Linked DNA regions of Oreochromis niloticus. The protein of the gene in region 2 purifies or fractionates together with the protein of the main gene of each other region. This does not show direct contact. Links are inferred from orthologs where the notes say so. Each region holds a gene or a part of one and is shown on either strand. Other genes may lie near its edges.

Region 1 (7,580 bases), on a different chromosome or scaffold from region 2:
TAAAATCTCTTTCTATTGGAGAAAAATATGAGAATAACAGCAATGTTTTATACTTGGACTCAGCTTTTTTGATGAGGTCTTTTCTAAAATCCCAAGTGAAAGATAAAGAAATGGCCAGCAGATGTCATCACTCCGACTCAAATGCTGCAAAACCGTGAATCATTTTAAGCAGTTACTGGCATTTGCTTAATGGGGTTCAGTCATTGCCTTGGAAAGCTTTTTCATCATCACTTGTGCCAGAGTCTGCAGATATTTTGCCATCTCATAATCATAGTCATCATTATTTCTGCACACTGTTCCTCACTACAGCTTTAGACTGGTCAAGCTTGAAAAAATACCCCTCTTCTTTATCATTTAACCTTCATTTTTAGTCTCCTTTGTGTTCCCTTGTGAAGTCGGAGGACAAAAAGGCAAGCATTGCATTTGAACTCTGAGTTTTAAGCACTTTATTATGAATTAAGAGACGAGATAGCTCTCGTCAATTCATTTGATTCACATCATGCGTTTAATTACTTTCATCCTTTGTGAAAATTAATTGAAAAAAATAAAATCCAAGCAAAACTTTGGCTGCTTTTAAGCTTAATAAAAGAACTGCATTTCGCTTTCAAAAACACCGCAGCCAAAGGTCTGGAATGAGATGCAGGTCAATCAGCTATTCTACTAAAATATGAAGATTAAATATTCTTCTGTGGAGGGATGCAGGTGCTTTTTTGCCCCATTTAGCAGAAATAACCATTTTAAGAGTTTTTGCATAATTGCTTACTATCTGGCACTGGGTGGTTGAAATTTTTTAACCACTCTTCTATCCAAAATTCCTTCAGTTGCCAGATAACCATAGGCGGGAGGGTTTTCAAACAGCAGTTCCTCTATCAAATCCTTTTTGAACTCTGGTCTTTAAGGCCATTCCATCACCTTACAGTTCTTACTTTTGAGTTATTCCAGAGTGGACTGGAGGTTAATTATTGCCTTGTTGAAATGTCCCTTTCTGATTCACTTTTCAGACAGGTAGCCTCATATTATATTCCAATAATCTTAGTTATGATGCAGAATTTATAGTTCAATGAATGATTGCCCAGCCCCCCAAGAGAAAGGAAGCAACCCCAGACCTTACCATTTCTGCCATTTCTTCATCTACTAAGCTCCCTGTGTGACAAACATGTCTACTGTTACTTTAACCAAAAATCTGCCTCTGATTTGTCTATCCAGAACAAATTATTCTAAAGCTCCCAGCCTTAGCCTGTTGGCAAAATGTATTTTACTCTTAAATTATTTGCTTTGAACATCAAAGTTTTTTCCCTGCCACATCTTCAGTACAGGGAGCCATCTCTTTCTGATTATCTAAACCTTTGCTTTGACAGCAACACTTGCATGAGCTACCTGCAGCTCCTCCAGTTAAAACTAGGGGTTTTGTCACTCTGGGGTTGGATTTGCTTTGGCAGCCGGTTCAGTAAAAACTGGCAGCCATCTAAAATCTACAGTTTTTACTGAGAGTGGAATTGTGGACCTAAAAAAATAATTAAAAAAAAAAGAGAGAACTTAAGATCGTGGCATGATGATTTCAAAGTGAAGCAGCAAACTCTAGATGGGTTTAATTAAGACAGGCTCCACTTGTCACTTTGCAAGCAGAGGCTTATTTTATGCTTATAGTGACTAAACTTTTCTGTATATAGTTACATTTGGAGAATTAACAGTGTTCATTTTGAGTGTTAATCTTCACTTTTTTTTTCAAATTTACAGCTATCAGTAGCTTTAGGGGAAAAAAAGGAGAGCATCAAAGCGTTACACTTTATAATGCCCATATTTAGTCCCGCCCATAGTCAGCAGCAGTGAATTGTTCATTCCTTAAGCATTGCTCAGCTGTGACAGGACTAAAAAAGAGAAATTACTCTGTCCTTCTCTCTGCTCTCTTGCTGTCTGCAAATTCCCAAACTCACTTTTTTTTTGCCATTTAAAGCGTAAAAGAGAACCTTGGTATTAGACTTTAAACAGTCCACCAGTGTTTGCTCCAGCTAGTACTGCCATCACTACCACTGTAACCTCACCATGTTCATTTCCATGCTGCTCTAAGCTGCCAGCTGGTTACGTAAAGTGTTTTCATATGAAACACATTTTGGTGAAGTCAGTGGAATGTTCAGTAAATGCTCCAAATTAAATCTTGTGTCACATGTGAAGTCTACAAATGTACAAAAAAAGCTGTTTTTTAGCTTTCGAAATTACGTACAGCTCAGACTGTGCCAGAGCTGGCTGTCTAATATGTCGGGTATTTTCAGCAAGTTGTGCCTGGACAATGTGGAAGGATCTAGTGGGAGGAAAACAGGATTATTATTATTTTTAATGCAGTGTGAGTTAATTGGCTGTGAGTTTAAAGTATCCTATAAATATCTTAAAACCATTCTTCTGCTAACAAATCATTTGGAGTATTTGGAAGAAAAGGAATGATCCCCTTACAACAGTGGGCCTCTTTGTACCAGATCAGATTTCTTAGGAGTTGAGAAGTCTGAGTCAGAAAGAACCCAGATTAGTGAGTCAATGTTACTTCCTGTAATTCAAAACTGCCCGCAAGAACCCAGACCCCACAGCACGTCGGTCTGACAAAAACCCCGGCAAGTCTGCTGCACATGGTTTTGCTGTTTTTGTTTTGTTTCACACATCGGGTGTATTTCAGGTCACCGGCATACGCTGCTGCCAGATGGACAGTAACTGAGGGTTATGCCATTGACTGAGCAGCTGGATGTCTGACTGGTGCAGAATATTCGCGGTGGTCCTGCAGAGACTCTCCAGTTTGATCTCTTTCTTTTCTCTGTCTGCACATTCTCTAGAAAACAAGCAATACAACAAACTTTTGTATTTTTTATTTACATTTTCTGCATTGTATCCCATCATCTTATTTCACTTAATATGTGATCCTGATTTACTTAAGCTCATCTTTAATACAGTCCAATAACAGTTATTCTAATAACTCATTTGGGTCTCGTCTCATCTATAATCTGTGATGTGATGCAAGTAACCTGTACAAAAAGAAGGTTACTCATCTGGTTTATTTGCTTTTTACTCGAAGCAGGTTCCAGCGCAGATGAAAGGACGGAGCCAACCATCCTTAGTAAACAATTGATTCCATATGTGATTCGGGGGAAAAGGTTGAACTGTTGAGTCATTTGCCATAAATGATGACATTCATTTTAAATCTATCCCAGTCTGCTTGTCTGGCATAAAGCCAGAGTAAAAAAAAAAGATTCGAAGGAATTAGTCAGTTTTTCTGTAAGCAAGCTTTTGTGAATCGTATAAAGGACTACTCCTCTCTGACTCAGAATTGTCAGTCTCCAATGTTTTTGTCCAGTGCTTTGGAAAAACTGTAAATGTTAAACCATCCACCCACCAGAGAGAAGTCTGCACAGAAAGATCTCAGCGCACTGAATCGCACAGCCAGAAGCCAACTCAGCATTTCTTCTTTATTTACTAATAAACTACAACTCATTCTTTATCTAAAGGTCACGCTTTTCGTCATGGATCTGACATCGTGTCTGTGTGCTGCTGTGTTTCCTCATTCGTCTCACCACTTGCTAAAGATAGCACCATTAAACATCACGGAACAAAAATGATTCAATAATGAAGCTGCTTTTGGCCTAAAATGGTCAAAGAAAAAAAAAAAAACTTCCCTGACGTCCTGACAGCATGTCCATGCTTAGAAGAGATGTATGGTAAATGCACAATAACAGATCAAGAGAGTATTTAACGGTTTGATATTCGTCATAGGTAGGCATAAACCAATAAATAACTACAAATGGCTGAGTATGCACTTTAATAAACCAAAACCAGAATCTACATATTTGGATGGCTTTGGATCCAGATGTTCACTTTTCCCAGGGTTTTACTGCATTGTCTCTAACAAATACAAGCTAAAAACTTTTTGCTGGTCCAACCAGCAAAAAAAAAAAAAAGAAAGTTTTTTCTAGTGTCAGCACACTGCATCTGACTTTAACAGGCACCACAGTTCAGGTCAAAGCTGAGATCTTCTAATACCATATAGCTGCAGAGGAAAAGCCATACAAGTAGAGGCCATAAAAGGCTAGTGACTTAACATATTTACATTCAGTACTTAATTACCCAGAATAACTGGTGACGCTATTGGCAGTAGTGCAGTTAAAATAAGAGAAATCCTGGGACTGCTGAACTACTACACCACATACTTTCCTCAGGAATGGAATGCTGCTGCTGCTCCTCAAGTCTGAGGGAGGAGGTCGCTGTTTTCCCTCACTCAAAGGTATTTTTTTGAATACCTTGTAGTGCAGAGCTGACTCAAAAAGAGTGTGCTTATAGGAGGAGGAGGAGGGGGAGGAGGAGGAGAGGGGGTGGTGAGCATACTTAGAGAGCAACAGGTTTATGACTTCCTTAAGAAATCAGAAGTTTTTCTTGGCTAATGTTGGCAACGTGAGCTGACTTTGTGCAGATTAGTTTTGTAAAGTAAGCAAAAGCAGTCGCCAGCAGTATCTGTCTTCTATTTATGGCCTCCCCCAGGCCTCCCCCCCCACCCCACCTCCCCAGACTGACGTCAGCACAAAGTTATTTTCATGAATGGAGGGGGCGGTCACGAGGAATCAGTGACGTGAGTGCTTGCGGAAGCAGAGCGTGGAATGTTGGTACATTGTTGTTGTTTTGTAGTTAATTTAGTACGAGGATACGCCGCTGCCCGTCTGTGCTGGACGCTTTTTACCAACTTTGTCAACTTACTTCACCGGTTGTCGAGGAAACATACTTTGACAGTTTTACGCACTCCGGTCCACAGATATCTGCGTCCACAGAGGTGAGGTTGTATTTTATTTTTTAATTTAATTATTTATTTTTTTTCGGGAAGATGTTTTGACATTCCTTTCTAAATTACTCGAGTTCTCACGGTGACATAGTGGCGCACGCAAACAGGCTTGTGTGGTGCATCCTCCTCGTAGGATAAGTTTTGATCCCAGTTATGAAAGCTCATGTTGATTTCGTAGATTTGTTTCTTTCGGGCGGACACGTGTTGTGCTGGAGATACATAATACAGTGCTTCAAAAGTGGCGCAGACCTCGGAGCATTCGCATATAGGAAGTTAGAAATGGTATGAAAATATGTAAAAGGGGGAAACAAACGGTGTGTTTTGCCGCTTTCCTGCGATTTGAAATAGTTCTTTGAAAATAACAGAGGCGATTATGACGCTGACTGAATGCGGTCCCTTTAAAAAAAATTATAGCTAATAAATTTAATAAACTGCGAGCGAGGAGACGTTTTCGACCAGCATTGTGGGAGGGAAAAATTAAGACGGTAAAAATCACACTATTTCTTCGCACTTCCCATTAAACGTAGAGCTAAAGTTATAGAATGTGTTACAGAATATGTTCATATACTATTACTAAGCACACCTGAACCTCTAAGGTTTTAGATTATAACTTTTTCTAGAACGAAAAAAACCCAAACTCCCCAAAATGCATTTTTTTCCACATGTGTGTTTATTTATAGCGTTTCTGTGACTTGAATGAGATTTTCGGAAAATGGAAGTGAAATAAACTTCCTCACTTTCCTGTTGAAACAAATTCATGTACAACATTTTTCACATCCTCCTTAATTTTCGCGCTCTTCCCCAGTTCATGGCAGCGAGGTTGATAGCGGGTGCTATAATACAGAATACCAGCCTGCTTTTGACATTGGAATCGACACGTGGTCTGCATTTTTAGACATGTGGGACAAAGGGCACGATGTGGAGTGGAGGTAGACCACCAGGGTTGACTAGCCTACAAAGAAGGAACAGCAGAAGGAACCCATATTTCCACAAACGATAAATCACTTTGGAGGACGAAAGAGACTTTATCTTATCGCTGTGTTTAGCTATAATTCCTGCTCTGCATAACTCTTAATGACTTGGGTAAATATTAGAAAACCTTGTCATGGAATTACAATAACTAATTGAATTTTTGACCATGGCTCCAAAATAGTTCACAATGATCTTCTTCACAGTCTTGTATGTCCACCTTTCAGTTTGCCCTTTGCCATTTACTTAAGAACTTGTGATCTTTTTGTGATTAATATATGGAAAATATTTGTGTCTGAGTAACTTGTTCCGCTTAGATGGTCACAGGTTGATGTCTTGAGGGGGGGCTTTATGATTCACTGTTGTTTCTGGTGGGTGCACAGTGACTTTCAGTCTGAAGCAGTAGGAGCAGGGTGTGCTCCTGTCATGAGGTTAACATGTGGTTCAATCACCAAAGTGATGATATCTTTTTTGGATGGAGAAGTTACAGCAGCTGACTCATCATACCAGTATGGGACAGTGGGGGGAGAGAAATTCCCCTGAAGATACAGCATGTGGTCAAATTGTCTTCCCTTTGTTTCTCGTTTTGCCGGACAGTGGTGATGGATGAAAGCAGTGCAGAATGCAAGACCGTTTTTGTGGTGGAGTATTGTGAAAGTGAAATGTTTGTGGTTAGCGATGCTATGACTCACAGAGAACACGTTCGCTGTGATGTGTTTTGCTCCTCTTACTGGAAAAAAGATGTCAAGTTTTGATTACTGACTGTGGAAGCCAGTGATTTTTATTTGCAGCCGAACATGCCAGCCAGAGTGGACACAGGCAATAAGAGGCGATTGTTTGAACAGGTCTGCCTTGCATCCGTCAAACGTGACTCCCTGGCAGTTATATAGCATTTGAGATTGTTCCCTCTGCCACCGGCAGCGGCTTGTATCAAGTCTTTTCTGTCAGAAAGACTGGATCTCAAACCACTGCTTTCACCTCATTATGGTCAGAGGTGTGGCAAGTGTCAGAGGTACTCCTGTAATTATATTGCCGGGTTGTGTTGCTGGGAATTCTCTGTTGATTCCTGATGGAGCTGGATGCAACTCTCGATTTTGTTGTGATTCAAACTCAAATCAAATCATTTGAAATGTTTGCTCAACCTATCTGTCCTAAAGGAACATCATCGAAATCTTTAGGACTATTATTAGCAGTGACTGAATATTAATATGTCTTCTTTTATTCACTAATTATTAGTTATAATTAAAAAAAGGACCGATGTGTCCACTTTTTTCATTCTTTACATCGCTCTGAAAACCAGTGTCCATGACTGGGAGAATATCTTCTCACAGATATTCGGTGAGATCTCCTCCCTTTCCGCAAGAAAGTTCCGCTGGTCATGCCAACCATTTCTGAGGTTCTCTGTACTTTTCCTTCCTCTCCCTGAAACAACGGGATTTTCCAGGAAATGTCAGATCAGGAGGGTGTGATTCCCTGCTGCTGGTTGTCGCTTTTACCAGTAAACAGCATGACTCACTGCTCAGCTATGCTCTCCATTTCCTTCACATAATATCCCACCAAATGTGCTGCGCTGGAGAAAGAGCAGAGTGCTGCGTGCCTCAGTCTGTGAAGAAATCTCTCCACCCCCCACCCCTTAGAAAATTGCAAGAAACGCAAGCGCTTTCTCATGAAGACTAAAGTTGAATGTCAAGGGCAGCAGTAAGTCTGCTTTGCGCTGAACCCCCTCCCCAACCTACACAAAAAGAGAAGAAAAACAAAGAATCCAGACAAGCCAGCTCTGCATTTATTAGTGAAGTGTGAG
Region 2 (7,806 bases):
AGTCCAGACAGAGGCACAAGGACGTAAATGCAGTGCTGTCAGCCAGCAAGCATGTCTTGAAGCCAAATGCCTTTGATTACATCAATAGCTCCAAGTCTGAGAGGGACCCAAAGACCCAGCTAACCACCATTCATAACGGGGGCTTCCACAGACCGACTCGTCAGGCTCGTGTTACCTTCAGGCCTGATCCATATTCTTGTAATTTAGGAATACGGATCTGGCCTGAGGGTTCCAAAGGTTCCACTAGCATCCCCTCACTCCACATCACTGCATGGACCTTCCTTTTTCTGTCATGAAGAAATGACATGCTGTTTTTATTAGGTCTAACACTTAGACTTCCTGATTATTCCTAAATTGTTTGTCCACATTGTAGGCTCTGTGTGGTAAGGCTAGTACATTGTAAACATTTGCGCTACCACTCCTGCATTAATCTGCCACGGTTTCCCCCAGTTCCCCCACTCAGCCCATTTCAATCATCTGCCTGCCCTGAACAGATCGGGTCATTGGGTGCAGGAATGGCAGTCTGTGTGTGTGTGTGTGTGTGTGTGTGTGTGTGTGTGTGTGTGTGTGTGTGTGTGTGTGTGTGTGTACTCTATAATTAAATTCTCTGTATGCATTGAGAGAATGAGCATATGGATGACTGTCAAAAACGCACACTGAGACAAAGACGTGACACTCATCTCCCAACACTCTTTAGACACAGGGCTGCTCCCACCTCCTGAAGGCCCCCGGCCCGGCTTTGAAGGCCCATGGCTTTGCATATAGGAGCTAAAAATCCTCATATGTCCTGAAGGTTTCTGCAAAGATTCATATGAATATGAATATCTTTACTAATCTGGGGGATTAGCTGCTGCATTGTCAAACAATGTCTTTAGACTCCCCAAAATCACCCTTTGACAGACTTCTTTGCTTTTTAGTTGTCATTTAGCTCCTTATTTCTGGGCGCCCTCATTTTCCCCTTCCACATTTGACTTTTAAATTATGAGTAATGCATGCTAAAACATGATTTTCCTCCAAACCTAAGAAGGTAGATGTAGTGGCTTTTAGTGTGTGGAGTTTTTTTTGCTTATTTGATTATTTATTTGACATTTTATGTTAATTTTATGATGGTTTTTTTTTCTTTATTTAGTTTGAAAGCTTGAAAAATATGTACTTCTTATCTAGACACTGCAGCTTTGATCATCAGAAGGATGATTTCTTGACATATCCTTTAATTAAGACAGTCCATGTTTCATCTCTGACTGTGTTTCATTATTCTCAACATGTTAATTGCATGTTCAGTGTTCATGATCAGGGCTTATTTATTTACAAATTCTTGTTTATGAATTATACTAGAAGAAAATTAATAAAATGAACTTACAGTCATGAATTATTATCACCACCTCCCTATTCATACTGTACAAAAAATATAATAACTCCCTGTCTTTTATCTAAGCACCTTAAAAACTGCTGGCTTTGTTATTTTGATGTCAGGAGCAGCACAATTTCAGATTGTTAGTTTAATGCTATTCTTTGAATGCCACTCAGTGGAATATCCAGTATCCAATATCCAAGTAAATTCTGCCACAAAGAAGGGGCTGTATGTTTTACAATGATAATTCATAATTACATGCAAACTCCCCAGGGGACATTTCTTCCATTAGAAATTAAAACATCTCCAGTGAGTGTTTACTTGTCCAAAAAGGGTGCGAGTGCCTTCCAGGTATCTAAGCTGAACAGAGTTCACCAGCTTACTCCCCTTTCACAACTTCACTCAGCTCATAAAGCACCATTCATTTGCATTTGCGTTCATGAGAAAACAAAGTGGTTTTTGCACTAATTACGGTCTCCAGGTTTGAGTGTGCATATTACAATATTAGAATATATTCTTTAAAAAGAAATATGAGCACTCATATTCATCACCATCAAGGCAAACTGGCAACAGCCCCACAGCCTTATGCTTTTTGGTTCCTAAGACCTCGTCTGTGTCAGATGTGAGGAGTTGATCGAATATTTGTAATAAGTTGTGGCCCAACTGACAGTTGACTGAAGTTCAACAAAAGAGCAATCTCTACTTGAATGGTTACATCTGAATTGTTTTTAAAGAACATATGAAATAATACTGTCAGCTGTTTGAGGAGGAAATAGAGATATTCTGTTGTCTTCTGTCAGTCCTACTGTACAATCTTTTTTTTTAATGCTAATGTGTTACCAGGAAACTAACTATACTTAAAATATGAGCCACATGATAAAGTTTCAGAGCCACATGTTCGAAACAAACAGTAGCACTGAGAGTAAGCTCAACTATAAAATAATTAACTTGAATTAAGATGTCATTTTTCCACTGTGTGTGATAAATCCTAAGAGCAACAATTTTCTGCAGCATGAATTTTTTGTCTTATTTGTAACAGCATTGCTTTTTACTGTTGTATGTTCTTTAGAGATTTCCAATCACCATTTTCTCATCGCTATCTGATAATGTCTCTGATTTGAGAAGGCTGCACTAATAAGGGTCATTTTGTGTGAAGAAGAATAAATGGTTAATGGACTGGTCCTCATATACTGGTTTTCTAATCTAGCATTCAAAGTGCTTTTCATTCACCCAATTTTTTCTATGTTAAAGTGTTTTCTCTCCCAGATTCAAACTCCAGGAGCATCAGGAACTTGGGGTTCATTATCTTGCCTAAGGACACTTTGGGTTAGTCAGGGATCATACCACTAACTTTACAATTAGTAGATGCTCTGCTTCACATGCTGAGCCAAATCTCCTTGGCGTAGGATGGAAAGTTAATAACTTTCTCTTAATTGCCGTGATACCTGTTATCTCCAACTGGAGTTTTAGGTTTTTTCAAGCCAGCTAATGCAAAGAAAGCTTGGCTTGGTTGAACTTCATTTGCACAATATTCCTTAGATCCTTATATCTATTTGTGTATTTATTTATTTAGTAGCTAAATTATTTAGTAGAGACCCACTTTACACTGCACACAAAGCATATGTATTATAAACATTAATTTAAATGATCACAGAATAAAAACTGAATTTCTTATTGAATTTCTTAGGTGAGAAATTTTTCATTTGTTTTTCATAATTTCATATTGTTTTTTTAAGAACTTGCACTAGCCAGAGTGCTACAGTTATGTCAAACTGTTGTCATGACAGGACATGGACTATAACTTTTCTTAAACACTTTACTGAAGTAAAGTTTTAATGAACTAGTATTTTACTATTTTTCTATGATATGATAACATTACACAGTTTCTGTAGATTTGTTGGCAGCACTTTTAAGATGTGAATCTCCTGCTCCATTACATCCTAAATGTCTGTTTGTTCTGACTGTGGTCATAAATGGGTGGATATGGTCGGGAAGAACACTTGGATATGCTGTGGCATTTAAATAATGCACACTGGGTACTAAAGCCAATGGAAATAGCCAAAAAAAAATATCAACCATGCCAAAAGACCATCGCCAGCGCTGAATATTGCAGTACAATTTAAGACTCGTCATACCAGGCAGCATTTTTTTTTCCAATCTTCTGTTAACCAATTTTAGCGAGCCCATACAAACTGTTGCCTCAGTTTTTTGTTTTCAGCTGGCATGTGTGGCACCTGGTGTAGTCTTCTGCTGCTGTCGCCCATCTGCTTCAAGGTTTGCTGTGGTGTGTGTTCAGAGATATTCTTCTGCATAACAGGTGGTTATTTGAGTTGTCTGACAATTCTCCTCTAATGTCTGACATTAAAAGTGGCCATTTTGCTCAGAGAACTGCTTTCTCATTTGATATCTGCTATTTTTTCACACTATTCTCTGTAAACCTTTTAGATAGTTGTGTAGGAAATTCACAGCAGATCAGCACTTTCTGAAATACTCAGAGTAGCCTCCTTCAACCATGTCAGCTTTAGCATCACTAAATCACCACTCCTTTCCATTCTAATGGTCAATTTTAACCTCAACAGGTCATCTTGATCATATCTACACACCTAAATAAATTCAGTGGCTGCCATGTGATTGGCTGATTAGATATTTACTTTAATAATGCATTTTTTTATTTTTATAACAAACAGTAGAACAGGTATCAGTGAGCTTTCTGTTACTTGACATTTATTTTTAACATTTTTCTTACTTATTATTATCCACATTTAAAAATATCAGTCTTCTTAATATAAGTTATTAGAGATAAATGTCTTTGCCAACTGTTGTTGTTGTTTGGCACTGTACAGATAAATTCTAATTGAAGTAAAAGTTATCCCATGTATAAGTAATTTAACAACATTATAGCTATAAGTAAATAAATAAATAATGTATAAATAATAGATAAATATTTGATTCTTAAAAGGCTGAATCTGCCTAATGATTATTTTTACTTTGGTTACTTTAACTATATTTTCATTCTGACACACTGACTTTTGTGTTGTTAATTACGTGGAAGTTGCGAGCTTAAACTATTAATTATTCTTTTTGCAAATGTGTGTCAGGTAATGAGTTCAGTAAAGCACATTAATAAATGAAAATGGTAGAGGAGCGTGTGGAAAACGAAAACATTAAAGAAAATAGTTCCCACACTTGAAAAGAAGATAGATAGATTTCAGTGTTCCCTTATAAGGCTTTTAATGTGATCAGAAAATAAGTCAGCTAAACACCCCCTTTAATTGTTCTCACATGCGAAAAAAATGCCTTGTGTCATCATTAATCGTAATTTTCCCGCTGCATTCACGAGAGGGGGGAGGGAGGACCAGGAGAAAGCATGGTGTGCAGGGGAGGGAGGGAGGGAGGGAGGGAGTCCAGAAAGCCAGCAAGCGCGAGGGGGAGGGATTTGAGCTAGAAAGTCAGAATAGTGCGATTCTCCAAGCTCCGTTGCGCACTTTCGAAGGACTACGCACGCGCTTCCCGCCGGCTTCAACGCAACGCCGCGTCGCGCTAACGATGTTGTGAATGAGAGGATGAGTGACGTCAGCGGGCGAATGTCAACAATGTAGCGACTGAGAGTAGGCGTTCCAGTCGAGTGTAACAAACAGCAGAGAAGGAGCGGCACGCCGTGCAGGATCAACACGCACACACGCGCGCGCACACGTACACAACAAATCGTAAAATCACAGACACTGTAGTGTGTGTGTGTCTGTGTGTGTGTGTTTTAAATTAACATTCTTGTAAGTGACAAAGAACCGAGTTGCGGCACCGAGAGAAGTCATCCATCTGCAACCAGGAGGGTTTGAGGAAACGGCAAACCGAGTCATCATGTGAAAGAACTTGTGGGAAACGGACAAAAGGGCTGGAGTACGAGCAGAATAGGACGGAAAAGGTGAGCTGGCGTGCACGTCTTTTTCCTCTCTGACCGCTCTCTCTCTCCCGCTCTCTCTCTCTCTCTCTCTCCTTTTCTCGCTCTCTAGCTGTTCTTTTTGTTAGCTTTCAATCTCGGTCTATTGTTGATGCTCTCATAACCGAGACGCAAACTTGCATAAGTGACGCAGTGGTAGTGGGCTACACCCAGCAGAGCTCCTGCTGAGATGCATAAAAAATCGACTTTATTGGGGAAAAAGCAGAACCGCACTCATGAATCTTGAAAGCCTGGCGCGTGGTACGAATATTGAAGCCTGTAATGTGATGGGGTGTGAACGCGGGTTCAGGAGTGAAACACAACTCTGTACCGCATCCTGTTATGCTTTGAGTCACCGCTCTCTGTGTGCTCCTCTGTACTGTTGTTTTTTTGTTTTTGTTTTTTTATCCAATATGGTAAAGTAGTCGGTGGTGATCCGTCAGGATTCACATGCAGAGTCATTAAACACCTTCCTCGTTCAATACGTGTGCATCTAGTTCATGTGGAGCTCATTAGAACTGTTACTACCGCTATTCCAGTTTATTTCACTCTATGTGAAATTATTGTATTACTGTAGGGTCGTTACCTTAAAATATAAAGCCTATTGGGCGTTGTGATTTGGCGCTATATAAATAAAATAAACTGAACTGAAATAAGCACACCTTATCATTAATCCACATTATAACAATCAATCCCTCGTTTGACGTTGAACCCATATTTCATTATTATATATATATTTCTTAGTCTGCCATCATGTTCGAGAATATAAAATAGGCATTTTTAAATCAAACTGCACCCTTCTGCGCGGAGCTGCATTGTCATGTGAGGGGATGCTGCAATCGCGTCTTAGTCTATCTTGAGTCAGTAATGTGCTGAGATGCACCTCAGTAGATATAAAGGGGCATTTTTAAGGAGACTCTTTTTTTCAAAAAAATGTGATCATGGATAATATATATCTAAACAGTGTAGTGTCACGTGCTGCCATGCATTACGACCTTAAAGAGATTTATGAGAATGTTCCTCGTTTGTGTTTACAGTGAGATTAGTTGGCTTCATATCGGCGGCTGCAGGCACTCGCGTTTGCATTGTTTCCCTCTGTCGTTAAAGAGACGCGTGTGTGCAGAGTGTGCAGGCAGGCAGGGCTTTTTCTTAATAGTGTTTGTTTCGTCATGACTATTGTTTGATGGCCATGTGTTTGCCTCGGCAGCGGAGGGGCCTGGAATCATAAGGGAGCGGAGTGATGCTGCTATAAATGCGGTGATGCAGCATTTCGAGGAAGCATACCATCCTCTTTGTCTGATAATGCTGATGCAAAGCAAACGGCGGAGCGATCGCAGCATCATGGATGGATCCTCCATCATCATGCTCAAGAACCTTTGTCATGATGCGTTGCGCATTCTTTTGAAACACCCGAAACGCCGTGACTCCACGCAGCCGCCACAGGGATGGGTTTAAGCTGTGCCGAGAGCAGGTGCATGGGTAATAGGAGCTAATAGGATCTCACTGGTGGTGTAAAGGCAGCTGACGTGAACTCACATTTTCACAGACAACGCGCTGCTTTGGCGACGCGTGCACGGCGGTGGCACTCATGCGCAGTTTTACGCACGGAACCCTTTGTTCTCTACAGTAGCCCCCTACCTTTCTTTTCCCAGGCATGGCAGTCCTCTGTGTACTGTGAGGAGGGGAAGGGGTGGAGTCCATACTGTAAACCTCACAGTGACTTTGTAAGCTTACGTCAAGCTTTGATTTCTTTGCCCATTAGTATAATCAAGACACGCGAATCGCATAAAAATAATACTTTTATAATTGCTTGTCACATTTTATTGTAAGCACGATCAGTTTAATAGATCCCTAGTGAGAAATCTCATTATTACATCACTCAACAAACATTAACTGCAAGAAGATTTTCAGTTCCAGCTGGTCTGTTCTCTGACCAGCGGTTAGTATCGTGTTCTTACCATGTGAAATGATATGTGTAAACCAGTGACTCTGCTTTTGCATTCAGAAAACACTAGAGACTTTATAAGAACCAAAGAATTCAAGATCCCTGAATGAAATCTAGAGGAAAATTTCACAACAGCAGAGATGGTGAAATAACTTTTTAAAACCTTATGATGGGGCAGTGTTTGCAAAGTTTTAAAGCCAATATTATTATTATTATTATTATTATTATTATTATTATTATTATTATTGTTATTATTATCATTATTGATCAGATTCAACTTGTGATTCTATATTTGTAGTTTTTATGTCCCAAAAAACAACTTACATCTAAGTAATGATTCATAGTAACTGCCCAGACGAGTTTTAACACAGCTAATAAGTTGCACTGCATAAGCATCAATTTATTTTCAATATATAAAAATATACTTACACTAGGTGTCCGTAACAGATCAGAGCAGCAGTACAGTCACAATAGACCTGGAAGATTACAATAATGCTTATCAATTATCTGCAACCTTACAAAACCCAACAATAATGACTGCAATGAAAAACTACCATATCTTGTTTGTTTCTT

Evidence for each region.
Region 1: the proteins of bach2b (region 2) and mafk purify together in Homo sapiens (co-immunoprecipitation; 3 studies listed by BioGRID and IntAct, with this or other methods). This does not show direct contact. The link is inferred for Oreochromis niloticus from reciprocal best matches to the Homo sapiens genes BACH2 and MAFK.

What each region holds. Positions count from the first base shown.
Region 1 is NC_031969.2:25,402,666-25,410,245, forward strand, and holds the start of mafk (transcription factor MafK), read left to right. Parts: upstream 1-4,575; 5' UTR 4,576-4,806; intron 4,807-4,856; exon of another isoform or gene 4,857-5,295; intron 5,296-5,619; exon of another isoform or gene 5,620-5,893; intron 5,894-7,580. UniProt on the Homo sapiens protein: Since they lack a putative transactivation domain, the small Mafs behave as transcriptional repressors when they dimerize among themselves.
Region 2 is NC_031980.2:29,165,204-29,173,009, reverse strand, and holds the start of bach2b (transcription regulator protein BACH2), read left to right. Parts: upstream 1-4,794; 5' UTR 4,795-5,273; intron 5,274-7,662; exon of another isoform or gene 7,663-7,709; intron 7,710-7,806. UniProt on the Homo sapiens protein: Transcriptional regulator that acts as a repressor or activator. Binds to Maf recognition elements (MARE). Plays an important role in coordinating transcription activation and repression by MAFK.